4 linked regions of the Caenorhabditis elegans genome follow. The protein of the gene in region 4 binds, or shares a complex with, the protein of the main gene of each other region. Each region holds a gene or a part of one and is shown on either strand. Other genes may lie near its edges. The genes, in order: pat-3, pat-2, unc-97 and pat-4.

What was found.
Region 1: pat-4 (region 4) and pat-3 share a complex: the UniProt entries of both Caenorhabditis elegans proteins name them as parts of the integrin containing attachment complex.
Region 2: pat-4 (region 4) and pat-2 share a complex: the UniProt entries of both Caenorhabditis elegans proteins name them as parts of the integrin containing attachment complex.
Region 3: pat-4 (region 4) and unc-97 share a complex: the UniProt entries of both Caenorhabditis elegans proteins name them as parts of the integrin containing attachment complex.

Annotation. Positions count from the first base shown.
Region 1 is NC_003281.10:3,908,405-3,915,907, forward strand, and holds pat-3 (Integrin beta pat-3), read right to left. Parts: upstream 5,746-7,503; 5' UTR 5,726-5,745; coding exon 5,528-5,725; intron 5,473-5,527; coding exon 5,268-5,472; intron 4,651-5,267; coding exon 4,247-4,650; intron 4,149-4,246; coding exon 3,712-4,148; intron 3,156-3,711; coding exon 2,817-3,155; intron 2,258-2,816; coding exon 1,770-2,257; intron 1,337-1,769; coding exon 1,050-1,336; intron 997-1,049; coding exon 925-996; 3' UTR 527-924; downstream 1-526. UniProt on the Caenorhabditis elegans protein: Integrin alpha ina-1/beta pat-3 is a receptor for laminin. Integrin alpha pat-2/beta pat-3 recognizes the sequence R-G-D in its ligands. Plays a role in cell migration, morphogenesis and probably in cell-cell interactions.
Region 2 is NC_003281.10:8,817,327-8,824,920, forward strand, and holds the start of pat-2 (Integrin alpha pat-2), read left to right. Parts: upstream 1-1,572; 5' UTR 1,573-1,575; coding exon 1,576-1,748; intron 1,749-1,795; coding exon 1,796-2,033; intron 2,034-2,079; coding exon 2,080-2,203; intron 2,204-2,520; coding exon 2,521-2,932; intron 2,933-2,995; coding exon 2,996-3,225; intron 3,226-3,474; coding exon 3,475-3,950; intron 3,951-4,006; coding exon 4,007-4,143; intron 4,144-4,235; exon of another isoform or gene 4,236-4,327; intron 4,328-4,367; coding exon 4,368-4,562; intron 4,563-5,036; coding exon 5,037-5,748; intron 5,749-6,205; coding exon 6,206-7,042; intron 7,043-7,505; coding exon 7,506-7,594. UniProt on the Caenorhabditis elegans protein: Required for muscle development probably through the regulation of the actin-myosin cytoskeleton. Component of an integrin containing attachment complex, which is required for muscle maintenance.
Region 3 is NC_003284.9:5,591,233-5,595,474, reverse strand, and holds unc-97 (LIM domain-containing protein unc-97), read right to left. Parts: upstream 2,343-4,242; 5' UTR 2,314-2,342; coding exon 2,171-2,313; intron 2,115-2,170; coding exon 2,002-2,114; intron 1,952-2,001; coding exon 1,831-1,951; intron 1,784-1,830; coding exon 1,631-1,783; intron 1,580-1,630; coding exon 1,336-1,579; intron 1,292-1,335; coding exon 1,167-1,291; intron 1,109-1,166; coding exon 961-1,108; 3' UTR 510-960; downstream 1-509. UniProt on the Caenorhabditis elegans protein: Component of an integrin containing attachment complex, which is required for muscle development and maintenance. Probably function in adherens junction.
Region 4 is NC_003281.10:88,936-96,657, forward strand, and holds pat-4 (Integrin-linked protein kinase homolog pat-4), read right to left. Parts: upstream 5,875-7,722; 5' UTR 5,869-5,874; coding exon 5,773-5,868; intron 5,211-5,772; coding exon 4,905-5,210; intron 4,296-4,904; coding exon 4,199-4,295; intron 3,703-4,198; coding exon 3,557-3,702; intron 2,928-3,556; coding exon 2,672-2,927; intron 2,258-2,671; coding exon 2,164-2,257; intron 1,748-2,163; coding exon 1,489-1,747; intron 855-1,488; coding exon 708-854; 3' UTR 518-707; downstream 1-517. Other genes in the region: mrpl-40 (Large ribosomal subunit protein mL40), read left to right, coding at 134-217. UniProt on the Caenorhabditis elegans protein: Probable pseudokinase that acts as an adapter protein. Component of an integrin containing attachment complex, which is required for muscle development and maintenance.

The sequences.
Region 1 (7,503 bases), 3.8 Mb from region 4:
TCTCATTTTTGTGCGTATTTAAGAAAAGTCTAGTCACTTCTCTATCTTTCTTTTTTCAATCCTACAATTCACGTCAAAAAAAACTTGTTTATTCTTTGAAGGAGGGTCAGATATTTGATTATTGTAGTCTCTAGCGTTTTTAAGTGGTAAATACTAAATTTTAAATCGGTTGATATGCAAAAAATAAATTAATCAGGCTTAATAACAGTTGTCAAACCACTTCGGGTCAAATACTTGAAACTTTTCGAACTTTTGGGAATCTTCTAAACTGAAAAATTGAAAATCCACACGGTAAATAGGATAAAAAGAATTCCAATTTTAAACGAAAAAATTTAAAGAAATTAAAAGAAATAAAAAATTGTCGTCAAGTTGAATGCTTTCTGTGCACTTGGATGCAAACACCAAGCTCCTCACTTTACGCGCAATTTTTTTTCCTTTTTATAATTTAAAAATATTATTTAACATGTCTTCTCAGATAGTTATGGCTAATATCAGTTTCAACCAAAAATTAAAAAGACAAAAAATTAATTTTTCAGATTTTTTTCATATAAAATTAATATTACATGAAAAATTCGAACAAGATAGTTCAAAAATAAAAGCACCATTGAAAATTGGAAATAGTACAAGAAGTGTGTGAGTTGTTGGTCGGTGTTAAGAGGGACAAAAGGCAATGAAAGATGAATATAAAGCAAGTCAATATATAGAGAAGGAAGAAAAAAATCCGTATTTAGAATGGGGTAAAAGCAGTGTGATGAACAATTGATGAAGGAAAAAAAAACAAAAAAATGGAGATTTTTTGAATAAAACAAAGAAGAATGTGACAATTTATCGCTAAATACTCGTTTCGAGTTGTTTGGATGGAGAAATTGAGCTTTCATATTAGAAAATTTGGGAAAATTATTAAAATATAAGGATAAAAACTATTTAGTTGGCTTTTCCAGCGTATACTGGATTTTTAAATGTTGTCGTGGCCTGTTTGTAGATTGGGTTCTCGTTCTGAAAAATGATAATTTGATAAATTTATATGTTTTTTGTTCCGTGTCACTTACCGTATCCCATTTGGCCATAAGCCTTTCGTTATTGAAAGTAGCGTATTCGGATCTATCATGAAGTACTGTGAGCAATTTCCAGAGCAACAAGAGAAGAATTCCGAGGATTACGATACCCGCAATGACTCCGAGCACAATTGCGAGCACAGGGACAGGTGGAGGACAATCTTTATGTTTTCTGACCCAGACTGTTGCATTATCTGTGGCCTCATCGTAATAGTAGAGATAATAGAATGTACAATCATCAGCTGGATCCACAAATTGGCAGGGTGTAGTTTCGTTGAGATCTGGAAATTTTAAAATTTCAAAATTTCAAGTTTTTTAATCGAGAAAAAAGGTTTAGAGAATTAGCAAAATTGCAATATTTACGTTTTAAGTATTATACACATTTTAAGGCAAAATCCATTATTTTCAGAAAAAATGTTTCTATTTTCCTGAAAATCAAGATTAAACGTTTAGAAAATTAACAAAAAGTGTAATATTTTAACAAATCAAATCAAATTTCCATTTAAAAAAAGAAGAAAAATGGGCAAAATTCCAAGCTATTTTTCGATAAATCAAAAGTTTTAGTTTTCCAATATTTCGAAAAAATATTTTAATATCTTTTTTTCTTTAAATTTTCCGATCAAACGTGTTTTTTTTTCAGAAATAAAATTTTCAAAAGTTTCTGACATTTAAAAAATTGATTTTCTGCTTTATCAGTATATTTTTTTAACTTACTGGGTAATTCCTCAACAGGAATAACTTTGAATTCACACTGATCACAGGCGGTCTCATTAAGTGGCCCTGTCTGCCATTGCTGGCACATTACACAATTCTTGTATTCCACACATTTCGTCGGACACGTCGGACAAATTTCGCATTTCGCTCCCGAATATCGATTTCCGTCGGGCGAATCGAAGCATCGACATCTTCCACAAATACATTCACCCTTTCCATTACAGATTTTTCCATTTGCAGAGAGGCATGAATCAGTTGAAATTGGGCATTCACAGGCTCTTCCAGTCCATCCAGGTGCACAAATACACTTTCCACAGTTGCATTCACCGTGTTCTGCACAGATTTTACGATCGTGTCGTGGGCAATTGAAGTTGTCGCATTCACAGAATTCTCCAGAGATTTGTTCTTCTGGATTGGCACGTGGATTACATTCACAACGTCCACAGTTACACACACCACGACCCTCACAGATTGCTGATTCGTTAGTTCTGGAAATTAGATCATTAGAATTTTTAAAAAAGAAAAAACGGAAAACAAAAATAGCTTAAATTTTTTAGCATTTTTGATAAACAATTTAATTTTTGTTAATTTTCTAACTTTTTTTCCAATTTTTTTGATTTTCTCTGAATTTTTTTAAAAAATGTAAGAAAGCAAAAATTATTTTCTAAATTTTCGAGCAAAAGTTTAAACTTCTGATTAGGCAACGACCTTTTTTTCGGAGTTTTTCCGGCAAATTTAAATGGATTTTCTCGTTTTTTCTTGTGATTCCATCGAAGGCGTCAAATTTTATCCAAAAAACCGAGAAAATTCAGTTGAAATTTTTAAAAAGAAAAAACTACAGAAAATCAATTTATTTGGAAATTTTCAAGGAATTTCAAAATTTTGTGATCTTAATTTTTATTCCAATCAATTTTCGATTAGTATTCCAGCCATAGAAGTTTTATAGCTTTTTTTTCGATTAAAATTTTTTTAATACTGCTCGGCCAATATATTTTTTAAAATTATTTCTCACATAATTTTCATGTTAAATTTTAAAAAAAACCATACCTTTTGCATTTTTCATTGAGCGCAGCAGTACTCATTCCAGGTCTATTACATTCACAATATTTTCCAACATTTCCTCCTTTGCATCGACAAACTCCACAAACCATATCTCCTCCGTTACAATCAGCCGAATTCGTCACAATTCTGTCTTGACGTTCACAATCACAATCGCATAAAACTTTAACATTAACGATAAGTGTCTCATCCAATCCAGATGGTCCGATACGGAGAACAAAATCACGTTTATCGATACAATGAGTATTTTCAAGGGTTACTTCGAATTGAACTTCATCTCCAACACGAATTCCCTCACAAACATTGGTATCTTTCAGTGTGGTTCCGCTGAAAAATTACGGTTATTTATAGGGTCAAATTTTAGAATAAAATTGTAATAATTTTAATAGTTTCGCTCCAAAATTGTGCTTTTTTTTAGTTTAAAACAATTTTATGTGAAGACTTTTTCGTCTAGAAACGTGAGAATTTAAGAGAGCTCAATTTTTCGATTCAAATTACTTTTTTTTTAATTTCGAGAAAAATGAATATTGAAAATTGCACGGCGAGGGCAATATTGTAGATATTTTACAATTATTTATATTGTTTTATGTAAAAGCGGATGAATCTGAAGGTTTCAACACCGAATTAACAGATTTTCACCTGAAATACCATAAATAAAAATTATATTACCAATTTTGAATGTTAAATACAAAAAAAGTAACAAAATAATCCAAAATCAGAATTTCAGCCAAAAACGCTTCTTCTCGTGGAGTACACGAAGCCTGCGTAAATCTACATGATCGAGGTCTTTCTCAATCTGTTTCTACAGCGTTTTTTTGTTTTTTTTTTAATTTTCAAAAGTTCCCAACTTTCATTTAAATTGAATATTATTCAAAAAACTCACTCCAAACACATAGATCTGTAAGTGAGCTTGAGTCCTTCTGAAGCATTTGCATTATCAACCATAATGATCTTTTCACTAATTTTCAAATATTCCTTCTCAATCAAATCGACAATATTTCTTGAATCATTAGCCAAAACTCCAACCGACGATGAAACATCTGGGAGTGCATTCGACAATTGTGTATACAAATCCTGATTGTTCTTTGTAACAGCAAAAATGACATTTGCCTTACGATCCTTGATCATTTGATGAAGAAGTGCAATTGATGGATAATCTTGATTAAGTGTTTCAGTATAATATCCTTCTCTATCTAAATGACATGTTCCATCATTTGGTTCGACGACACCTGCCAATCTTCCGTCTCCAGCGAAATGGAATCCAGCGTCAGTTGAGAAAACGATCATTTTACGAGCACGTTCACGCCACCCAATGGTTTTCTGAAATATTGATTTTTAGATTTTAAGCTTTCCCGATATCTCAAAAATGTTGATTTGATTCTTTTTGAATTTTTCTTTTAAATCAAATAACCACTTACATTACAAGCCAACGCCTGAACAACAGCATCGAAACCTCCTTCCGGAGCATCCAAATTTCCAGAAATTTCAGCTTTATCAACTTCAGCCTTGAACTTTGCCGTGTTCGTCGTCAATGACATTTGATGCTTGAATCCATATGGTTCTGCACATGGTGTTGGACACGGAGATAATTGTTTTTCGATTCGTGGATCGATGAATGGCATAAGTTTCTTGTCAATGAATGAACCGAATCCTAATCGGAAATTCTTTGTGACAGTTCTCATTCGTTCGGCGAGCAAGTCTCCGAGTTCGGACAGTTTCTGTTTGTCATCCTTCATGGAATATGAGAGATCCATCAAATAGTACAAGTCAACTGGATAATCAACGGCTTGACGGTAGGTCACATTGAAACGAACACGGGATTCTGAAAAAAAAACATTTAGATTGTTGTTGATATTGAAGAACTGGATTTAGAGAAAAATCTTGTGATTTTACAAGTTTTCGAGTCGCAGCGGTCACTAATTAATTTTTATTTTATAATCACCCTGAATTGCAAATTTTAGAAGTTTATCATTAATTCGTTGATTTAGGCATATTTTAAGCCCAAAAATCTCTTAAAATCCAAAAATAGTCAAACGAGCCTAAAATGTGTAAATCAACGAATTATGATAATAATAATAAATTACTTCACTTAATTGTATATTACAGGAGCTTTTTAAGATAAAAATTAAATAAAAAAGAGGCTGAAAATAACCAAAACCGGAAATATTTTAACTTTCCGCAAAAAAAATGCAGTACGATTTTTTTTTCAGTGTTTTTGAGACAATTTTCAAATGTGATTTTCAGCGGTTTTTGTTGTGAAAAATCAATGAAAAACATTTCTTTAATTAGTGCAAATTTTTCCTGAAAATTTAAGACTACGAAATTACCCTGAAATCTTCGTTTTTTTTGCTGAAACCCCAAAAAATTTTTTGTATTTTATTGATTATTTTCATCGAGTTTTTAAACGAATTATCTTTGAAAACCATATAAAAAACTTACTGGGCCGAATTTCGACGTACATCTCCTGTGGTTTGATCTGAACGGCTTCTTCCTCAGATTCAACTTGTCCTTGATCGGAGAGTTTACTGTCTTCAGTGATATCCAATTTTGTGGCCGGATCCTCGATATAACTGTTTGGACATCCATGTTCCATGAGCTTGGCACGGCTATCACAACGGGCATATGGCTTCTTCTCGTCGAACATCTGGAATTTTTTTTATTAAATAAAATAAATTCATGGTCTCAAGCATTTAACATACCGGTGCTCCACACCACGCGCAAGATTCATGATATTGAATGCACGCTGAGCATGTGTAATTGTCACGTGACAGACTGTAGCATGGGAATTCTGATTTTTCGACGACTTTTCCAGTGACTTCTCCAGTCTTCCAATCGCTTGCTGGTAAAGCGAATGGAAGAAGTGCTGCGAGGAGCAGCAATGATGTTGAAGGTGGCATTTGATGCCGGGTAGGTTCAACTGAAAAATTAATTAATTGGCTTTTAGTACATTGAGAACGGAGTAATTAGAAAAAAAAACGGTGAGATTAAAAAATGGTGTATTTATAAGAAAAATTGATGATGAAACTCTACAGAAACCTGATATCAAACTGCTTTCAACAGGTGGCAACTTTCATACAACTTTTGAAATTTTTAAAGCTCTCCAAAAAAGTTAGATTTTTTGAAAAAAATATTTTGATATAAAAATCAAGAATATCATACTAAAAATGGCACATCCCCAATTCATAATTTCTTCAGTGAAGAAAAAGTTATAATATAAAAGTTATACAATAAAAAATATATAGGAAATTTTGAAAGAAAATGACTTCTTGAAATATTAGTCACCATAGTAGGAAAATTTATTGTTTACTCAACAAACGGAGTGAATGCGGGAAGTATAACGGAGTCATGTTCTTTTTGTTAGAAAATTACATAGTTTTCGGGGGAAAATATAAAAAAACTTGCAGCGAGGAATATTGGAGTTCAGACAACTCGGATTTGAGAAAAATCGGTCGTGTCGAGACCGGGTACAGTATTTTCGGGAAACAATAACTTAATTCGGTATCTGCAGGCACACATGTGTAATGTATGAAATTTGAGATTTCGGGATAAAACTTCATCCGTTTAACATTTTTGGAAGTTATGCACATAACTTTTCAAACCTTAAAAATCGATAAAAGTATCAACTACGTCCACCGATCACCTCTTTTCGGAACGTGGGCGGATCTGCCAAGTGCTTCGACAGGAGCATCTCTCGCCTTCTCTCTCTTCACAACTGCCATCAACCCAGCAGCAGAATGCTCTTCGAAGAGATAGTGTAGGCGATAGAGTGCTCTATGTTGGCCGGGAGAGGGGCTCGGACCAAAGTGTAACGAGAGTTACACCTGCTTGTATCGTCGAAGAAACAAAGAAGACGAAGGGAAGAAAACCAAAGGGAAATGGGTGAAAAGGCGTTAGAATCGGGAGCTTCTAGAGACATCAGAGACCGATGAAATTGCGAAATTCACAGGAGGGGGTTTGATGTGGTGAGGAAAGGGATTTTTCGATAGTTTCAATATCGTTAGTTTGGTTCAAAAGTGGGAGTGGATTCTCATTTTGGAAGACATTCAAACAGGGATATTAGCTGAAACTAAAAAAAAGGATTTCACATTCTAGATCGACATTTTCCTTCTTTTTTTTGTGGTTTAATGAAATTTCTGACTATTTTGGGTATTTTTAAGCTTCCCGCTATTCCAAAAATGTTTAAACTCATTGCTGAACATCAAAACTGTTCCTGGTAAACTAGTTTAGGTGAAACTTTGAAGATAACTATAATTCTTGCTCTTACAGCTTATGAATGCACCTAGTAATTATTAAAATGTCAAAGTATAATTAATTTTAAAATGGCTGTCAAAAGTTATCATACAACGATATAACAATTTAGACATTGTGAAAAACGACGATTTCAACACTTAAATAACGAAAAGAGTAGAAAATAATAGCGTCTGAGTCATTCTTGTTCTAAATTTCCCACGCCCACCGTCTCCCGTCTCCAATCCATCAAATCGATAACAATCTGATAGGAACTAATTCAAAATCCAAACTGAATTGAAATTGAAATTGGGAGGAACAAAACGAAGAAGGGAACCAAGGGATGACAAGTAGTAAGACATCTGGTGCATACATATACTAGTATCCTCTGTCTCTATGTCTCTCTGTGTTCGTATTGCCCTTGTGTGTTTAATCATAGCACTAGCCC
Region 2 (7,594 bases), 8.7 Mb from region 4:
GAACAGTCACCAGTCAACCATATCTTGGATTCTACTGACAATTACTTCATGCCCACATCCCAATACTCTCTATTACATGAACTTTTCACCAATATATAAAATGTTGTTCGTATACTGATGGGCTTCAAGTAGGCGTGATTTTTAAAACACATACTACAAATATTGGAGAAAGTGCCGTATTTGTTCTATTAGTATTGGTGCAATACGTTTTTGACCACAATATTTATGTACTTGAATTAACTAGATTTCACTGTGAAAACTGAAACTTTAAAAACTTTAAAATCTGTGGCAACTTATTGTCGAATTTTGGCAGGAAGTTTCCCTGATATTCCAAGTAGGTTCAAAAATTGAATTCAATTATCAAATTTTGGTCTGGTCAGATTGAACGTCTACTATTATAATAATTTTGCAAGTTTTTCAAAATATTAGAAAATCTCTTTGGTGTTTCAAAAATAGTAACTGCATATCTACTTGATTCCAAACTAATTGCTTCTCGTGTCCCCAAATAAGTGGTGCCTCTTCCTCCGCCCCCTTCCATCCTCCCAATTTCATCCTCAATTCATGCTTCCATCAATGTCTACGTCTCTTCGTCTCTCACACTCTCTCACCATTAGACATATGTTTGATAACTATCCGGAAACTGAAGAAACTATGTGTCCCTTCCTCCCTTCTCTATTTCAAACGACTCTTGACTCATCGTATTTTTCGGAAATTCATGGGATAACTATGAGTCTCCAGATGCCAGTTTTGTTTCGGAATTTCCTTTTTGTACGTTTTTCACAAACTTCGAATTTCTGATTTTTAACTCGTAGTCCAGCCAATATTCTGAATATTTTGAGGGTTCTCCGGTAATTTTAAAGATTTTCGAATGAGTACAACTCAAAAGCTAGAGGTTCCAGCAAACAACTTTCAACAGTCAAAACATTTTGAAATAGTTCAATTGAGCATTTGAGAAAATATTGTTGTTGGCTCTCGCTCAATACACAACAAATATTGAGATTTATGCAAAATTCGAATTGCTCCTTACTTTGCTTCTTCATCAATCTTGCTCCACGTGTCACGGGTCATTTTGTTCCCCCGTTAATTTCCGTTCGCTCACTTCTCCTGTTCGTTCAATTCATTTCTTGATATGTTCATGACTCAATGTGAGTGTGTCAAATGCTCGTAGAGCTCCCTTCTCAATTATAAATGACTTGTCGTCTTCGGAGGGTCAGTTCTTTGTTTCGCAATCGCGTGTGCTCTGTTCAATTCCATTTTTCCTTCCTTCCGGTTTTTGGAAAAGACACCGATTAGGCTTCATTGATCCACATGTTAACTGAGAATTTGAAATTATCTCAGTGAAATTGGTCGCTACTTTGAATTTAATTCATTTAGACATGAAAAACGTTCCAAAATTAAAATTCAAGCAAAGTTCTTTATTTTCCCTTTCAAAAATATTTCTTGGAACTTTTGAATTTGAGATTTTGAAATTTTTTTTCTATTCAATCAACTTCTAAAATCGTTTCATCTTCCGTATACTCGTTGCAAACTTCTTTCTGATTGTTTTCAAAAAACCGAATTCCAAATTTCCAGTAGATGCGAGAGGGTAGTTTTCCGCGAAGGATCGGCTTGCTTCTAGGCTTACTGGGCCTTTTAGCCGGAGTTGCCACCTTCAACATCGACACAAAAAATGTAGTGGTTCATCACATGGCTGGTAACTACTTTGGATACTCACTCGATTTTTACCATGAGCAGAAGGGAATGCCTGTGTAAGTTATTGAATTAACTGAACAGATTTTACATTCAAAAATTTCAGCCTCGTTGTCGGTGCCCCTGAAGCTGAAAGCAATAACCCAAACCTGGCTGGAATCCGAAGACCTGGAGCAGTTTATGCTTGCTCCGTGAACCGGGCAACATGCCGAGAAGTCCACGTGGATAAAATGAAGGGAAACTTGAAGAAACTCAATGGATCACATCTTGTTCCAATTGAAGAAAAATCACATCAATTCTTTGGTGCAACTGTTCGATCAAATGATAAGCATGATAAAATTGTGGTAGGTTTATTCTGCGGAGTTTGAAAATTAAAAATTAAATTTCCAGGTGTGTGCTCCAAAATACACATATTTCTACTCAAAATTCGAAGTTATTGAGCCAGTTGGAACCTGTTTCTATGCTGAAAATGGATTTGATAATGCGGAGGAGTTTTCATCGTGCAAACAAGAACGTATGTTTTGGGGATACTTAATTGGTACTGCAGGGGTACTGTAGTTTTGGAAAAAGGAGTTCGAGAAAAGAAAGTTCTGGGAAGTTCTAGAAACTTCTGAAAATTTTGAGGAATTGCAGGAATATTTTAATAGTTTGAAAAGTTTCTGCAACCCTCAAGACACTGTTAAAAACGTCTTAAAATTTTGAGATTTTTTTGGAAAATTCTAGAAACTTCTAGAGGCTCCTGAAAAAAATCTGAAAATTGTTGAACCTTTTGGAATAGTTCAGAGTTCGAACAATTGGTAACTTTATAAAAAATTAGATGAAAAATTACAGCTGCTCGCCACGGTCGTCATCGTCTTGGATACGGTCAGTGCGGATTCTCGGCTGCAGTTCCAGGAAAGAAGAATCAAAATCGTGTTTTTATTGGAGCCCCCGGTGTGTGGTATTGGCAAGGAGCAATGTTCTCACAGAACATCAAAAATCAGACAGACCGCCCGAATACCGAGTACGGTAGCAAGGAATACGATCACGATATGATGGGATATTCTACAGCAACTGGAGATTTTGATGGAGATGGTATTGATGATATTGTTGCCGGAGTTCCACGTGGAAACGATTTGCACGGAAAATTGGTGTTATACACGTCGAAACTGAAGATGATGATCAATTTGACTGATGAGGTGTCAACTCAACATGGACAATATTGTGGAGGATCTGTTGCAGTTGCTGATGTAAATAAAGATGGGTAAGTGAGATTCACAAACACATAAAATTACAATTCTCTAAATATTCTCTGTATTAATTTCAGACGCGACGACATTATCATGGGCTGCCCATTCTACACAGATTACGGTAGCGTGAAAGACGCAAAAACACAAGAAAGAAAACCACAATACGATGTCGGAAAGGTCATTGTGATGCTTCAAACTGCTCCAGGAGTCTTTGGAAAACAGATTGCAGTTGTTGGAGATGATCAGTGGGGACGATTTGGACACGCAGTCGCAGCAGCTGGAGACTTGAATTTGGATGGTTATAATGGTAGGGATTTTGCTACTAAAAATGAACGAATTTGAATTTCTCACAGAAATTATTTTACGCGGAAATTCAAATTTAGTTTTCGTATTTTCACTTTTCTTTTTCTTAATTTAACAATTTCTTTAGACATAAAAAATCCTAGATTATCGGAAATTTGTGCGGCATTTTGAACTTTCAATCTCATTTGAACCGCTATGGAAATTTATTGCATTTTTTGTTGGAAATTTTAAATTACAAAATAGTGTTTTTCAGATGTAATTGTTGGTGCACCATATGCTGGAAAAAACAAACAAGGAGCTGTTTATGTGATCCACGGATCCAAAGATGGTGTTCGCGAACTACCAACTCAGAAGATCGAAGGAGCCAATATTGGTCATGGAAATATCAAATCATTTGGCTTCTCCCTTACTGGAAACGAAGATGTTGATGGAAATGGAATGCCAGACATTGCAGTTGGAGCATGGAAATCTGGAAATGCAGCTGTTTTACTCACAAAACCAGTTGTCACTGTCACGGGACAAACTGAACCAGAGAGTGCATTGATCAGTGTAGAAGATAAGAATTGCGATGTTGATGGAAAATTGGGAAAACAGGCATGCAAACATATTAATACATGTTTCAAATATGAAGGAAAAGGAGATACACCAAATGATTTGGAATTTGATCTTCGATTCAATCTTGATGATCATTCTCCTGAACCAAGAGCTTATTTCTTGCAAAAAGATGTGGTAGGTCACTTTTTTAAAACTAGATAAAAATTTTTAACACAATAATAATATTTCAGAAATCTGACAGAAGCATTAAAGTTGCACAAGGATCTAAAACAAGAGACCATCCATCTTCAATCGAACAACGTGTTCGTCTTGAGAAGGGACGACAAAAGTGTTTCAGACATCGATTCTTTGCTTCTTCCACAATGAAGTGAGTTTTCAGAGAAAATATTTTGATTTTCTTTCAAAGTTTTTCAACTCAAAATGACCACAACTTTTTAAATTTTTTTATCAGAAAAAATTGAGAAAATGTTTGCTCTGCTGTGAAAAAAAGTTCAAGGCTAATTTTTGAATGTAAAATAGTTCGTATGCTTTGCAAACCTTCAAATTAGAAAATAAAATGTTTTCTAAAAATCAAAAATAAAATAATTTCAGAGACAAGCTCTCCCCAATTCATTGGTCCGTCAACTACACATATGTTGAATCAAAAACCGGAAAACTTCGTGGTGATAAGCTTGAACCAGCAATTGACACAACTGTACCACTTTCATTCCAAAATAAGATTAATATTGCAAATAATTGTGGAAAAGATGATCTTTGTGTTCCTGATTTGAAGGTTACCGCTGTTGCGTAAGTTTTTTTAATTTTCAAAATGATCGATAAAAAGTGTTGAAAAAATACATTAAATATGCCATTTTTTCATTGAATATAAAAGAAAGGGAAACATTGAAAATCCTCATTACAGTAAGTTTGAAAAATTATTGAAAAAATGGGTTTGTCTCGAAATGTTTTAATCATTACTCTAATTTTAAAATTTTCAAAAAAATATAAGGAAATGAGCGAGAAAAATTGAATATAACACAAAATACAATGTAACCTAACTCGACAATTTTCAAAACATTTTTTATAATGAGACAAGTTCACAGCCATTTTTAAAATGTTTGCTTCAGGATTTTCCTGTCAAAATAATTCCACGAAGATTGTATGTTTCTTTTCTTCACGGAATCGGCGAAATTTTCAGTGAAATCATATCATTAAAATAATTATTCCTAAACCTATAAACCAAATGCCAGCAATTAAATTCTTTTAAACATATTTTTTCAGTGATCGTGAGAAATTCCTTTTGGGAACTCAAGACAATACAATGCTTATCAATGTAACAGTTCAAAATGGAGGAGAAGATTCATATGAGACAAAACTTTATTTCGATGTTCCACAAGGATTCGAATACGGTGGAATTGAAAGTGTTGGTGGAGATGGAAGCAAGTCTGCTCCAGCTTGTTCTCCAACTTCCGATGAACCAGATTCGGATGGAAAATGGACTTTTGCATGTGATCTCGGCAATCCACTTCCAGCTAACAAAGTAGTTAGTAGTGTTGTAAGAGTGACTGCTTCTTCTGATAAACCTCCACTTGCTCCAATCAGTATTAATGCTCATGTGAACAGTAGTAATGATGAAGAAGCTCATACTGTTGCTGATAATAAAGTCACATTCACTATTCCAGTTGATTTTAAGAATCAATTGAGTTTGAATGGTAGATCAAATCCCGAACAAGTCGATTTCTCAATGACGAACAAAACACGTGTAGATGCTTTCGATGACAATGAAATTGGTCCAGTTGTTTCACATCTTTATCAAATCAGTAATCGTGGTCCATCTGAGGTTGACTCAGCTACTTTGGATATCTTCTGGCCATCATTTTCCACTGAAGGAGGTCATCTTCTGTACATTATCACAGAACCAGTTGTTAATCCACCAAATAAAGGAAGATGTCGGGTCAAACAACTGCAAAATGTTAATCCATTGAATTTGAGGGTACGTTTGAATAATTTTTAAATTTCTAGACATTACTTTAAAGGTACACGCTGTTTTTCTGAGTGGGTCTTGCCACGATCTCATAGTCGTTGCAAATCCCCAATTTCTGTAGACACTGAATTTTATAACTCTGTACATTTAAAATTGCAGTGAAATACGGAAGGAACTATTTTGTTTTAGAAATAGAAGTAAGAAACTTTATCATTTTTAGGATAAAATTCAAATTTCTTGGGAAATTTTGAAGAATTGTTTTCGTCAGTTTCTGAAATGTTTAGAATCGGCGAGTTAAAAAAAAATATTGGAAACAATCGAATATGCTGAAATATCACAAAAAAAATTGATTTTCCGGTTCGGGCTGACAAACTTCACTTTTTTCAATTCAGAATCCTGAACATCTTATTTTATAAATGTTCACAAAAAATTACTGTCGCACATTAAAAACGAATTAAAATTTCAGATAACAAATGAGCATGTTCCAACTGAACCACCAGTTGCCAAGACACCAAATGAATATTCAAGAGAAGAAGATGATGAATCATATGAAGATGAAACAACAACTCAATCCCAATCAACACGTCATCAATCTACACAACATCAAACTCATCATCAATCTGGTCCAGTACATGTATACGAAAAAGACGAGGAGAAGATTCGTCAGAATACTGGAAATTGGCAATATGTTGAGGATAAAAAGAAGAAGGGAGATTATGAATATATTCCAGACGATCAGGAATATGATGGAGATGATTTTGAAGAGGAAGATGATGAAGATTTTGATAGAGCTGGAAGTAAGAGAGTTAAAAGAAATCCAACACCAAAGAAGAAGAAGAAGGGAGGAGAACACCGTGGTGAACCAAGAAGTGATAAGGCTAGATTCTCTGATCTTCGTGAAGCTGTTAAACTTTCGAAGGAAGCTGGAGGAGTTGTTGATTATAAGGGACCACTATCAAGAGCATCTGTTGATTGTAATTCATTGAGATGTACACATATTGAATGTGATATTTATGATCTTAAAGAAGACGAGTTTGTACTTGTGGAAATCTTCTCTAGATTATACACAAACACATTGGTTGATGAGAAAAATCCTGGAGGAGACATTTCATCGTTGGCTCTTGCTCGTGTCACATCTACTAAATACAATCTTCCACATAAGCCAACATTGATAACAGCAGTATCTACAAATATGAATGCAATTGCTTCTGAAGAAGGAAGAGATCTTCCTTGGTGGCTTTATCTTTTGGCTATTCTTATTGGACTTGCCATTTTGATTCTTCTTATTTTACTGCTCTGGAGGGTGAGTTTCAAATTTAATTTTCAAAAATACGATTTATTACATAACAACATAGATATTGGCTTGCAAGTTAAATTAAAGTTCTTTCGCCAACTTTCATGCTTACTTGTGACGCAGCAAAAATTATATCTTAATTTCCAATTTTGTGAAGCGGTTTCTCAAAGCCTCATTGATTTATTCGGATGGGCCTCGCCGCGAGAAAAGTTTATGGTTCAAACTCTGCCATTTTCGAAAGGTAAAAAATGATTGTCACAAAGATTAAGAAAAACTGAATTTAAAAGAAGTTGCCTACGACATTAAAGCTGTGCTCACACGCTTTCGAAAATTTCACAGCAACGTCCACGGCGAGCTTACGTCGGGGGTACTGTAGAATATAGGTAGATCAGAGCGACTACAGTATACAACCAATTTCGAAACAAATTTACAGTTTCCCTCAGAAAATAAATAATAATAATCTAATTTTCAGTGTGGTTTCTTCAAACGTAATCGTCCACCAACTGAGCATGCAGAACTCCGTGCCGACCGTCAACCAAATGCTCAATACGCTGATAGTCA
Region 3 (4,242 bases), on a different chromosome or scaffold from region 4:
AGAATCTTACAAAATTTTAGACTTTTCCACAAAAAAAAACCAAAAAAAAAATTGATAAAAAAGAAGAATTTTGTTGGAAATTCTTCAAATAATCGATAATTGAAAATTTATTTTTTAACGAAATTAACTTCTTGGAAACTGAATTTTTTTTGTCATTTTGAATTTAAAAAAAAATCATCGACTCTATTTCATCTTTATGTAAAATGATCAAACAGAGTTTGCTGAGCAAAAAAACGATGAAAGTCGTTTTTTGTTGGAATAGCCCAATTTTTCTTTCACATTTTGAAGCTTCAACAAATAAATTCCCAAGAGAATTTCAAGTGCAATACGATCATTTCTACTGGCTCATTCGTATTTTTAGAAATTTCACAAACATTTTGACACTGGAAAGTATAATTCTCACTTAACACGTTTCAAGTTGAACCAAAAATATCTCTCCGGGCGCTATGGACTCACCTTCCTGTTGATCACTGATTACAAATTGATTGTTGATGCCGAAAAAAAGGATTCAATATTACAATACGATTTTGTTTCAATACAGTCAATATTTTTTTTCTGAACAAAAAAATAGTACAAAAATTCAGAAATCAAGTTATGCAATAATGACACCCGAGAAAAGATGCAAAGTTTTTGCGGATAGGAACACAAAAAATTTGGTCGAAAGTTATGATTGTTTTCAGAAGGCTTCTGAATCAAAAAGTAGCTGGGAAAGGGAAGGGGAAGGACAATTATGGAGCTAGAAATGAGTACAATGACATTTTTGTGTGACCGAAAAATAGTTTTGAAATATAAGGCATTTAAAAGACAAAACGGATTGATAACAATTTTCACGATGTTTTTTTTTAGCACCAAGGTATTAAAAACAATGGGAAAGAGAAATGAGCAATGGCATTTGGAAAGTATTACTTCTTTAATGGAAATTGATGAATTACGGGGACTCCTTTATTTCTTTCTTTTTTATTATTTTGGTCCAGGACTCATCGATCTTCTTTGATTTTCAACGTCGCGGTCCTTTAAGCTTTCTGAGATGCGCTTTTTCAATTCTGTGGGGAACCGATCGTAACATCGTTTGCATGTTGGTTTCATATCGAATTCATAGAATTTCGTTCTGCAATGCATACATTAATTTGTTTTCATCAAGTTCATATGAATAGTTTTGCACTCACTTCTGATCAAGTTTCTTATCACAAAAACTGCAGGAGAAACATTTGACACACCACGTTTTCTGAAGAGCTTGGAATACTTCCCCGCAACATGGATCTCCGCATTTGAAACAAAGATTTCCGAATAACTGCAACAAACTTATTAATGTTTGCTTGTTCATATTTCAAGTACCTTGTGGAAGTGCTGTTCGCAATATGGAAGTCCCTTTCTCTCGTAGTGACGATGTCCCAAGAATGGCTTCTCACAGACGGAACAGACAAAGTGCTCCACGTGCCAGTGCTTGCCGAGTGCCGCGATGACACGCTCTTCAATCGGCCTGTGACATGCTCCACAAATTGGGATACCCATGGTATCGTGGCATCTGAGACAGTAGAGCTCTCCGTTTACTTCACGAGAAGCTGTCGTTAATTCATTGCTGAAAATTTTTTAAATTCAACTCATACTGTAAAACAAGATAAATTCTTACTTGCAACGTTTGCACTTAAAGTGATAAGGATGGAATGAATCTCCACGGAATTTGATGTGTTGTCCATCATCAATCATTGCGTGGCATTTGTGGCACACATATCGTCCATGACCTGCTGCCTTTTCCCGTTCGTTACATTCGCGACAGAGAGCTCTGAAAATTGAAATTCTTTCGAGCTTCGTTTACGCTCTCCAACTTACCGTCCAGCGTTCCGTAAAAATCCGACATCGGCCAACTGTTTATTGCAAATCTCACAACAGAAACATCCCGGATGCCAGCTGGCATTCATTGCTTTAATCACTCGTCCAACGATGAACTCGTCTAGAATATAAAACATTTATGGCTCTGCGTGTCTTCTCAAAGATACTTACTGCATTTTCCACAACATGGTGAGAACAGAACATGGAAGTCATGCTCGCAGTACTTTCGTCCTTCATACTCAAAGTAGATGCCGTCTGGGAATGGCTCAAAGCATTGAGCACATCTAAAAATTTTTTTGCAATTTTTGAGTTCTCTTAATTCTAACTTATAAAAACTTACACAAAACACTCCGAATGCCATACTTGCCCGGAAGAGTTCACCATCTGATCTTGCATCGAAAAACCATCATTACAACGGACGCACACCATGTTCTCGAAGCCATGGGCGAGATCCCCGTTGATATGGTTGTGGTCGGAATCCATTCCGCCACACACCATCTATTATTGAACCACTGAAAGTTGGCCACTATGCACACAGGATGGTTTAACGACCATGGGTTTGTAAGGAAAAAGGTGGGGGTAGGAAAGAAGAAAAGAAAGCGAGCGAGTAATATGAAGACAAATATGTACAAACAAGGGAAAGCCGGAGAAAGCATATAGTGTGTATAGGTTAGGTATGTTGGTTAATCGAAAAGAGCACAAAAAGTCAGAATTTCATATCTACATTTTGTTATATGCAAAGTAAATTTTTGCATAAACACAGAAATTTCCATATTCTAAGAATCGTAAAAACACTGGAGGTATTATACGAGGGGGCTGTGAAACAGTAGAAAAGAAGAAATCCTCAAGGAAGAGGCAAATGTGCCAAAGGTATAGGATGCGACGGGTTGACATATGTGTAAGAAGAACTCGGAGGCGGTGGCGTGGAAGCTTTTGCCATTGCATTTTGTGTAAAGAATGAAAACGAACCAAGAGATAGAGATATAAGTGAACAACAAAAGTATGTGTGTGAGTGCTGCTGCACAACAGATTCAACAGGATGCCTCAGCTTCCCTGACTAACTCACAGAGGGAGACGTGTATCCGATGTGTTGATGATCAGTATTGATTGGGAACAGAAAAAAGATTCTTCAGAAACATCGGTTGGGATATCGTGTGTTTAAATGGGAAAAAATTCGAACTAGTTATTTCGATTTTTTTTTGACTTTCTATGTACTACTCTACATAACAAAATTCAGTGAAGCGGCACATTTCACGCTTCAAAATGTGATACATGTATTACACCAGATGTTTTGAGATGCAACGGAGGAAAGCAACAATGCTTCTTTTGTGGTGTTTGCATTTAAAAATAAAACTAGTTGTAAAAATGAAACCAAAAATTCAATACAACTTCTATACGGCTAAACTATAAAGTTTTGAATTATATTTAAACATAGTAATAGTTATAAACAACACCTTAAAAATGATAATAGTTGTTGAAAATCAACTTTCCTCACACAGTGATATGGGCATTTACTGGGCAAAAAGAAAGTGCGCAGAATGTACAACTAAAAAGAGTGGAAGAAAGCGAGAGGCAATGCGCGCGCGGCGGGTTGGCCGACAGCCAAGCGGGGGGTCACAGACTACGGCCGCAGACGTAACGACTCCGGGAAGAGTGCGCGATTCGAAGAGACGCATACAATCGGGTTGCGTGCGTAGGGTCACATTAATAGCCAAGTATTGCTGCTCGTTGATACTCGGAACAGGCAGGAACAAGCTTTTTCTAACACATGTTTATAGACAGTTGTGAGAATAAGAAAGGATCATCAGTTTAGATATGAGAAATCAAAAGACATGGTTGAAAAGTACGAACCCCGCAAATGTTGGCAGATAAATGTTCAGTATCTGACCTTCGTTTGTGTTTTTATATTCTTACGACTGGCCTTGATCATGAGCTAGTATCATATATCAGGATGACAAAAATCCAGAAATTGTAGCTTGAAAACAATGACTAACTTTGAAATGATGACATTATAGAATGAGGTCCTCTGCCAGTAGAAATGCCTCCACCTGCCAAACAGCTGTGCGCAGTGTTGAGAAATACCACCGCTTTTTCTAGAAGATCGTAAACCGATAACAGAGGTTTTTGGACCGACTTTTTTCGGAGCAGTGTATAAATTCTAAACTGAGTATTTTATTACACAAATCTATAAGTTTCAAAGTGAGTTTCTACAAAATGAACCAGTGTGGCATGTTCTCAAAATTTTTTAATTGAAACTCAGTGATATCGAAAAATCTTTAGCTTGTCTAAAAATATTTTTAATTTCAGTTGGAACAATTTAAAAAGTGCTCACAATTAATCCGAAAGTTAAAACATCAAATGAAAAATCTTTCAAAAATGTCCTATTTTCCCAACTAAAAAAATCTTATTTTC
Region 4 (7,722 bases):
CTGAAAACTCACTGACATTTTGCGAAAAATTCCGAAAATTGGTTAAAAAATTTTTTTAAAAAACCTGGAATTTTCCAAATTTTTTTTTCTAAAAATTAAAAAATTCCGAAAAATCCTTTAAAATTTCTTACAGGGACCCTCACTGACTCCGCCCATTCGAAACTACGAGGCTCCGGACGGCGACTACATTGATACTACGAGAAATTGGGCATCTTAGAGCCGAAAATTGTTGATTTTTATGTGTTTTATGGGTATTTTTGTTGTAGACAGTGACATAGGATGACGCATTAATAAAGGAATTATCGATTTTTATGGAAAAAACTAAAAATTTCAGTGAAACCGAGCTGGAAAAAATAAATTTGCCACTGCGGGGATCGAACCCAGGCCCTGTGATTGGCGGGCGAGGTCACTAGCCACTAGGCTACACGTGCAAATTTTTGGCAACTGATTATTTGGATACATGAAACTTACTGCAGCGAACTTTTTTGTCGAAGAGTGTTTGCGTACAGTAATCCTTACATTTCATAAGATTTTATTGATTTTTTCATAAATTGAGCAATTTTTTTTGACAGTTTAACATTTAAAATTAATATATAGACGGAAAATGCGATGGGGCTGGACAAGGAGCAGGCACTTTTGATGTAAAGCTTTGATAAATTGAATTTTAAAAAAATTGTTGAAAACATTAGAAAAGCAAAATCGATAAATCATAATATCATTCTCTCTAAAATCGGAATGATTTGATCAAAGTTTGGCCGACGTCCCGGGTCCTCGTTCATGCAAATGTTCATCAAACGGTTCATATTACGGGCGATTCCAGGGGGAATGTGCACTCGGAGACCTTCCAGAGCGATCTGAAATTAATAAATTTGGATTCAGCGTGAAATTTGGGTCTGGAAACGCTGATTTTGGAGGTGTAAGGGGTACTGTAACCCTAAAAGTACGCAAACACTGAATCTGACGACGACTTGCAGAAAAGCGGTGGAAAATGAGTTTTTTGAGTTTATTGAGGTAGAAAGTGACGGGAAATTCAAATTTTTTGATAAAAATTATATTTGATCAAAATTATACGAAGAAATTCGAATTTTTTGACAAAATTTCAGAAAAAAATTTTGATTTTATCTCAAAATGTCAACAAACTGTGGTTCAATTCGAATTTCTCGCAAAATTTTGAGCGTGGTCAGTCGTTACTAGACGTTTCTATTCCATTTTCAGGGCTTTCGGGGTACTGTAGTCTCGGAAGTACGCAAACACCGAATCTTACGACATTGAGCCCAAACGAGCTAAAAAATGTTGTCACGGCCTGTTTTGAGCTTCTGAGTTTGAATTTAAGAATGAACACTTTTGAAAAAAATAATAGAAAAACAATTTTTTTTGGGCCAAAAAAAAATTTTTTTCCAAAATTTCATCCGAAATTAACTGATAGATTAATTTTAGGATTTTAACATCATTTTTCACACTTTCAGCCCTCCAAAAACCCTCCCTTACCTTCATTCCGCATTCCATTGGCGGTAGATCAGAGAATGGGACCTCACGAGTGTTCAGCTCCCACAACAATATAGCAAATGACCACATATCGGCAGCTCTAATATTCAAGTCTTCTGGAGCCCGTGACAAGGCTTCTGGGCTCATCCAGGCAGGCGAATAGGCTTTTCCGACCTCTTGGAACGAGAATTTCGTATCTGCCATTGAGAGTTTGGCGGTGAGCTCCTCGTCGACTACAACGTGTTTGGAGGAGAGGTAGAACCTGGAAACTGGGCTTTAGGCTTATGATAGCTTAAATTATCTGAAACTCTAAAATTAGTTAAGAAACGTAAAAAAATGGGGGGAAAATTAAAAAATTAAAAAAAAAAAAAAAAAAAATTTTTTTTAAGTTTTTTTTCGAGTAGTGCCCCAAAAACTCTTGGATTCCTGAAAACAATTTTTGAAAATTTTTGTTGTAGCTACTTTTCGAAGAACATTATTTCAGGCACATTTTAAGCCAAAAACCGTTTGAAAGTATCAAAAACTAAAAAAGTTATGAACTTTTGAAATTTGGAAAAAAAAATCCAAATTTTTTTAAAAACATAAAATTCAAATTTTCCCGCCAGAAAAATGGGCGGAGCCTATAAAAATTTATACTTTTCTGGGAGCTCTTTTTAAGCTCCATTCAACCACACTAACCTCAAAAGCATAGGGTCCAAACTGTGCAAGTAGCTCATTCCTCTAGCAATGTCCAACGCGAATCTGACGGCTTGCCCGTGATCAATGACGACAGCTGCAATATTTTATTGATTTTATTAAATTATTTCAGCGATTTTTCACAAATTAATGTCAAAATCTAATAGATCTCGTTAAGAGCTTTCAGAAAAGTATAATCATGCCTAGGCTCCGGCCATTTTAGCATGAATTCGAGAATTTTTGGGTCTCGCCACGAAAACTGTTGGGTTACTGTAGATAAGTTATCTAATATGATATTGATAATTTTACTAAAAAGACAATTTTTTGAGTTATCTGTGCGCAGTATTTTAACAAAAAATCTCAAAAATTGGGAAAAGTACAAATTTTGAAAAAAAAAAATTTATCAAAAAAAAATTTTTTTCTACTTTTTCGAAATCAAAAAAAAAAATTTTCAAAACATTTTCTAGGACTAATTTTTGCGCCCTTTTCAATGAAAACCTTCAAAACTCACAACTTTGCTCGTGGAGCACGTTATACAGGCTTCCAAATGGCATGTACTGCGAGATGATCACCAAGTTCGGTGGCTGGTTAGCCGCGGCGAGCACCGCACAAATATTCGGATGAGCAAAAATACGAAGAGCCGGAAACTCGGTCTGGAAGTCACGTGAGATACGGGCGGTCACTTCTTGAACATTCAAAATTCGCGCCACAATATCGTTGCCCTGCCATTTTCCACGCCACAGTTCTCCGGAGTGTGATTCAGCGATCTGTAACAGAGTGGGGGTTAAGCTGGAAATTTTTGGGATTTTTAAAGTTTGAGGTAGCTTATCAAGTTCATCTTGATCTAGACTTTCAGAAAAGTATACATTTACTCAGGTCAAAAAAAATTTTTATTTCGAAAATGAAGTTTTTTTTTCAAACATTTCAAATCTTAATAACTTTGCCAATTTTTAAGATTTTTTGCAGATTTTTGACATAAAACACGTATAAAATATTGAAAAACAGTATTATTTATATTAAATAATAATATACACTACGGTAAGTGAATTCTGGAAGTTTACGTAGCGGGTTCCAATTTTCGACGAGTTTTTGAGTCCCACCGCGAAAATCCATAGTGTTAAGCTGTTTTGTGTCAATACAGTATTTTAATATTTTATTGACGTAGAACAAGTTTTTGTGCATATTTTGAGGTTAAAACCGGCTGAAAATCTCAAAAACAGTCAAAGTTATGATTTTTTCAATGTTTGAAAATTTTCCTTAAAAAATTTTTTTTTTCGAATTTTTTCAGAAACTTCGAAATTCGCGGAAAATTCCCATCCTTCAACGATTGAAACTAATTTTTTACGCTGAATTTGAATTTTTAAGTTATTTTCCACTGAAAAAATCTATAACCCACTTTAGTGATCAAATTCAGCGAGGAGACGTCGACTCCGGTGTAGCGGGACAGTGTGGCGTCCCGAGTACGGGACTTTGTACCCTTCCATGTGGTATCCTTGAATGGTACACGGTCATTTGGAGATTGTCCATGTTCTTGAGCAATTTCTAGAAAAAATCGATAATTTAAAAATTTATTAGAAAAAAGTCATCCCAAAAAAAAAACTTTTTGCGAGTCAAAAGTCTTTGCTGAAAAAAACATTAAATTTTTGTACACATTATTTTTAAGTATCAAAATTAAATTTTGCTCACCAAGAGCTTTCTGAAAAGTATAATCATGCCCAGGCTCCACACAAAATGAGCATTGCCCAGAAGACTTCAGAATTTTTGGGTCTCACCACGAAAACTTATAGGGTTACTGTAGTTTATGTTTTTCAATTTTTTAAGTTAATTTACCAAAAAGCTTGATCTTTTAGACTTATTTTAACGTTAAATTAAATCGAATCGCTTGAAAACTAAAAAGTTATGAGTTTTTGAAAAGTTGTAAAAATGTTGAAAAATGTTTTTTTTTTCAAAAAATGCATTTTTTCTTCTAAAAATCTTATCTATATGTTTTCCGACTAAAAAAATTCAATTTTCAGATTAAAATGCACAAAAAACTTACCCAAAATAGTGTTTTTGCACATTGGCTGGCAAACGTCCAGTGGGGTCATTCCCTTCTTGTTGCACACGTTGACAGCGGCGCCGCAGGAGATTAGGTCCTGAAGTTGTTATTTTGCAAGAAATCAAGGTAATTATTAACAAATTCAAATTCAGCTTGTTAAGAGCTTTCAAAAAAGTATAATCATGCCCGGGTTTTGAAAATTCTACAAATTTTCGATAAATTTTTGGGTCCCGCCACGAAAACTCCCAGGGGCTACTGTAAATAGGGACTTTTTGTGTTTTTGGTATAATAAATTGAAATTTTAAAATATTTAGGACGCAAGTATGAAAACATAAAAAAAAATAGCCAAAAAACTTCCAAAGTTATAAAGTGTTGAAAAAATGATTTTTTTTTCAGAAATTTTTTCCGGCAAAAAAAAGCTCAAAATTTTTGGTCAAAAGTGGGCGCATCCTTTATGAATTTATACATTTATTAAAGCTCAAATCTAGTTATATTTGATTATAAAAATAATTTCACCTAAACTATACATTTTCATTGCGAAATTAAAACTTTCCGAGAAGAACTTATTCGAAAATTTGGAAAAAAAATTTTCTGAATTTTTTGAAAAATCATTTTTTTCCAATTTTCCCAAAAAATTTTCCCAATCGAGTTTATACTTATTTTGAAGCTCTAAACAAGCTCTATTCGAATTTATCAATAAAATCACCTCAGCAATTTGTTCATATCCCCAAAAGCAAGCATAATGCAGTGGAGTCATTCCGTGCTCGTTGGTAGCGTTAACATCGGCTTTTCTCGACAAAAGCTTCACCACAATTTGTCGGTGTCCATGGGCGGCCGCCAAATGCAATGACGTGTCATCTCCCATATTCGTAGAGTTTACACGTGCTCCACGTGACAGGAGCATCTCTGCAATCGCCACGTGGCCGCCCTTCGCGGCCCAGTGGAGCAGTGAGAAGGCGTGATCGTCTCCGACGTTGAGATCGTGCTCGTGATCGTCCAACCAGACGCGGACCTGAAATTTTGATAGTAGTCTTAGTCTATAGTAAGGATTGTGATAAATCCTCTGCAAAAAAATTGGACAATTTCGGTGAAAGTTGATCAAGTTAGCATGAAAAGAAAAATCGGACAAAAATTACCGGAAATTCCAGATTTAAGCTTAAAATCTAGCTTTAAACTTGATTTTTCAAATTGGCAACAATTTTTTTCAAATTCAGCTTAATTTTAACTTTTAGAAAAGTATAAATTTGTATAAGCTCCGCCATTTTAAATAGGAATTTAAATTTAAAAAAAAAAAATTTTTAATGAATTTTTTTTTTAGAAAATCTCAGAATTTCGGATTTAAATTTAAATTTTTTTAATTGAGGAAAAACATTAACTTTCAAAAAAGTATAAATTCATATACGCTCCGCCCACTTTTCAGCGAAAAAATTTGAATTTTTCTAGAATTAAAAAAAATAATTTCCAAACATTTTCAATTTTTTTCCAAATTTTTTTTTTCAAAAACCTATACAAAATTATACTTTTTCAAAAGCTCTCATCGAGCCTAACCCCATAAAAATATTTACAAAACTCACCTGAAAAGCGTTACCCTCGCGGACCCATCCAAACACATCCTCCATTATAATGGGCACATTTGGCTTGTGCGCATGGTAATGAGTCGACAAAGACATTGTTGACTGGAAATATAAGGTTTTACGTGTGAAATAGTGTAAAATTTGAAAAAATCAAGAAAAATTGAGCAGGAACATGTAAAATTACAACAAAAAAAATCGGTGAAAATTGAAGAAAAAAACTATTAAAAAATCAATAAAAATCTCCAAAAATTTCCAAATTTTCTCAATTTTTCCAACTTTTTCCCGGGCCCCATGAAGCCCGGAATCTATAATTTCAAGCCAAAAAAGTTAGATATAAGAGACATAGACAAATAAACAATGCAATAAGTACAACAGAAAGCAGTAGAATTTTGCTGAGGCGACGGCATGGGGGGGGGGGGGTCAACATTGTTCCCCCGCTGGCCAGGCGAGATAGTAGAGGACTATGTAGGAGACGCAGAGAACAAGACGAAATTTGTTGTAAATGTATGTATTGTGGAGAGGGAGTAGTATCCCGCGCAGAGAACAAACGGCAAGCGATTGTGGGATATCTTTTCGTTGACCATTCCGTCGTCTAGAGGTTGGCTCAGAAAAAGCTCTGAAACTTCGCTTGAAATGAGCTTCTGGTCTTGAATGCTAAGAATTTGAAAAGATGAGAATTCGGGCTTTCAGAAAAGTACAAATTTGCCTGGATTTTGCCTGAAAATTTTTATCAAAAAACCGGCAAATTCGCTTCTAGGACATTTTCCAATTTTACCTTTCACAGCTAACTCCTGAAAAAGCTCTAAAATTTGGCTGAAAACGAGCTTCTGGTCTTGAAAATTCAAAATTTGAATAGGAAAATTTCCGAGCCATCAGAAAAATATTAATTTATGGTAACTTTCTCTTAAAAATTTTGAGGAAATCGTAATTTTTGCTCTGAAGCTCCGCAGCGAGTTTCAGAAGAATTACTGTAACTTGGCTGAAAATAGTTCGACAAAGTTATACCTAGTTTCATTAAATTAAGCAGTTTAAGGGTTTTCAGAATAGTATAAATTTGCTAAAAAAGCTTTAAAAAACCCCAATATTCCAAAGGACTTTTTTGATTAAAAAAGTAATTCAAAAAAAATTTTCACGTTATTTCAAAGCCCCCATCGCACATTTTTGTGCCCAAAAGATCTGTAAATTTTTCCTCTACAGCACTGAAAAGTTATGTATCAATTCCTGTAAAAACTCTTGAAATTCCTAGCGTTTTCGTGGCGGGACCCAAGTTTTTTTAGCAATTTTCTTCTCAAAGACTGGGTTTACAAAATACCTGAACCCGGAGCATAACGAAAAATTGTGAAGCTTAACAAAGTTACCACTTCACAATTGCAGCACTAAAATTCAATGACGTTTTTCAGACAAAAAACCATTTTCAGACGCTTTTCCCAAAACAGCCAAGAAAGGGCCTAACGTGGCCTAACATCCCAAAATTTTGCCACGTGGCAGAAAAATAACGGAATATCATATCACTAGAAAGTATATCATAAAATTGAGTTGGTTTTGAGGGGGCGAGAAGCTCATCGGAAGAAGGTATTCAAGAACATTTGAGAGAAAGAGAAGAGACGGGGGAGAGAGAGTGTGAAATGCAGTGAGAGACGCAGAGATTTGGTTCCCGTGGGAGTCGTGTGAGTTAGAGATAAAGAGATATGGAGAGAGATAGGAGACGCAGAGAAGCAGGGACGGATGTTGTAACACGATTCTCGGATGGAAACTGAGCATTGATGATGATGATGCCAAGGATTTTGGGGACCGGGAGGGTTGCGTAGAAAATTATTGATTTTCTGACAATTCCAGCGGGGGGAGTCGGAGTGTCCCATTTCGGTTTGATCTACGTAGATCTTCTACAAAAAATGCGAGAGAAGAGCCGCAGAGTGTTCTCAACTGATTTAGCAACGTGCTGACGTCACA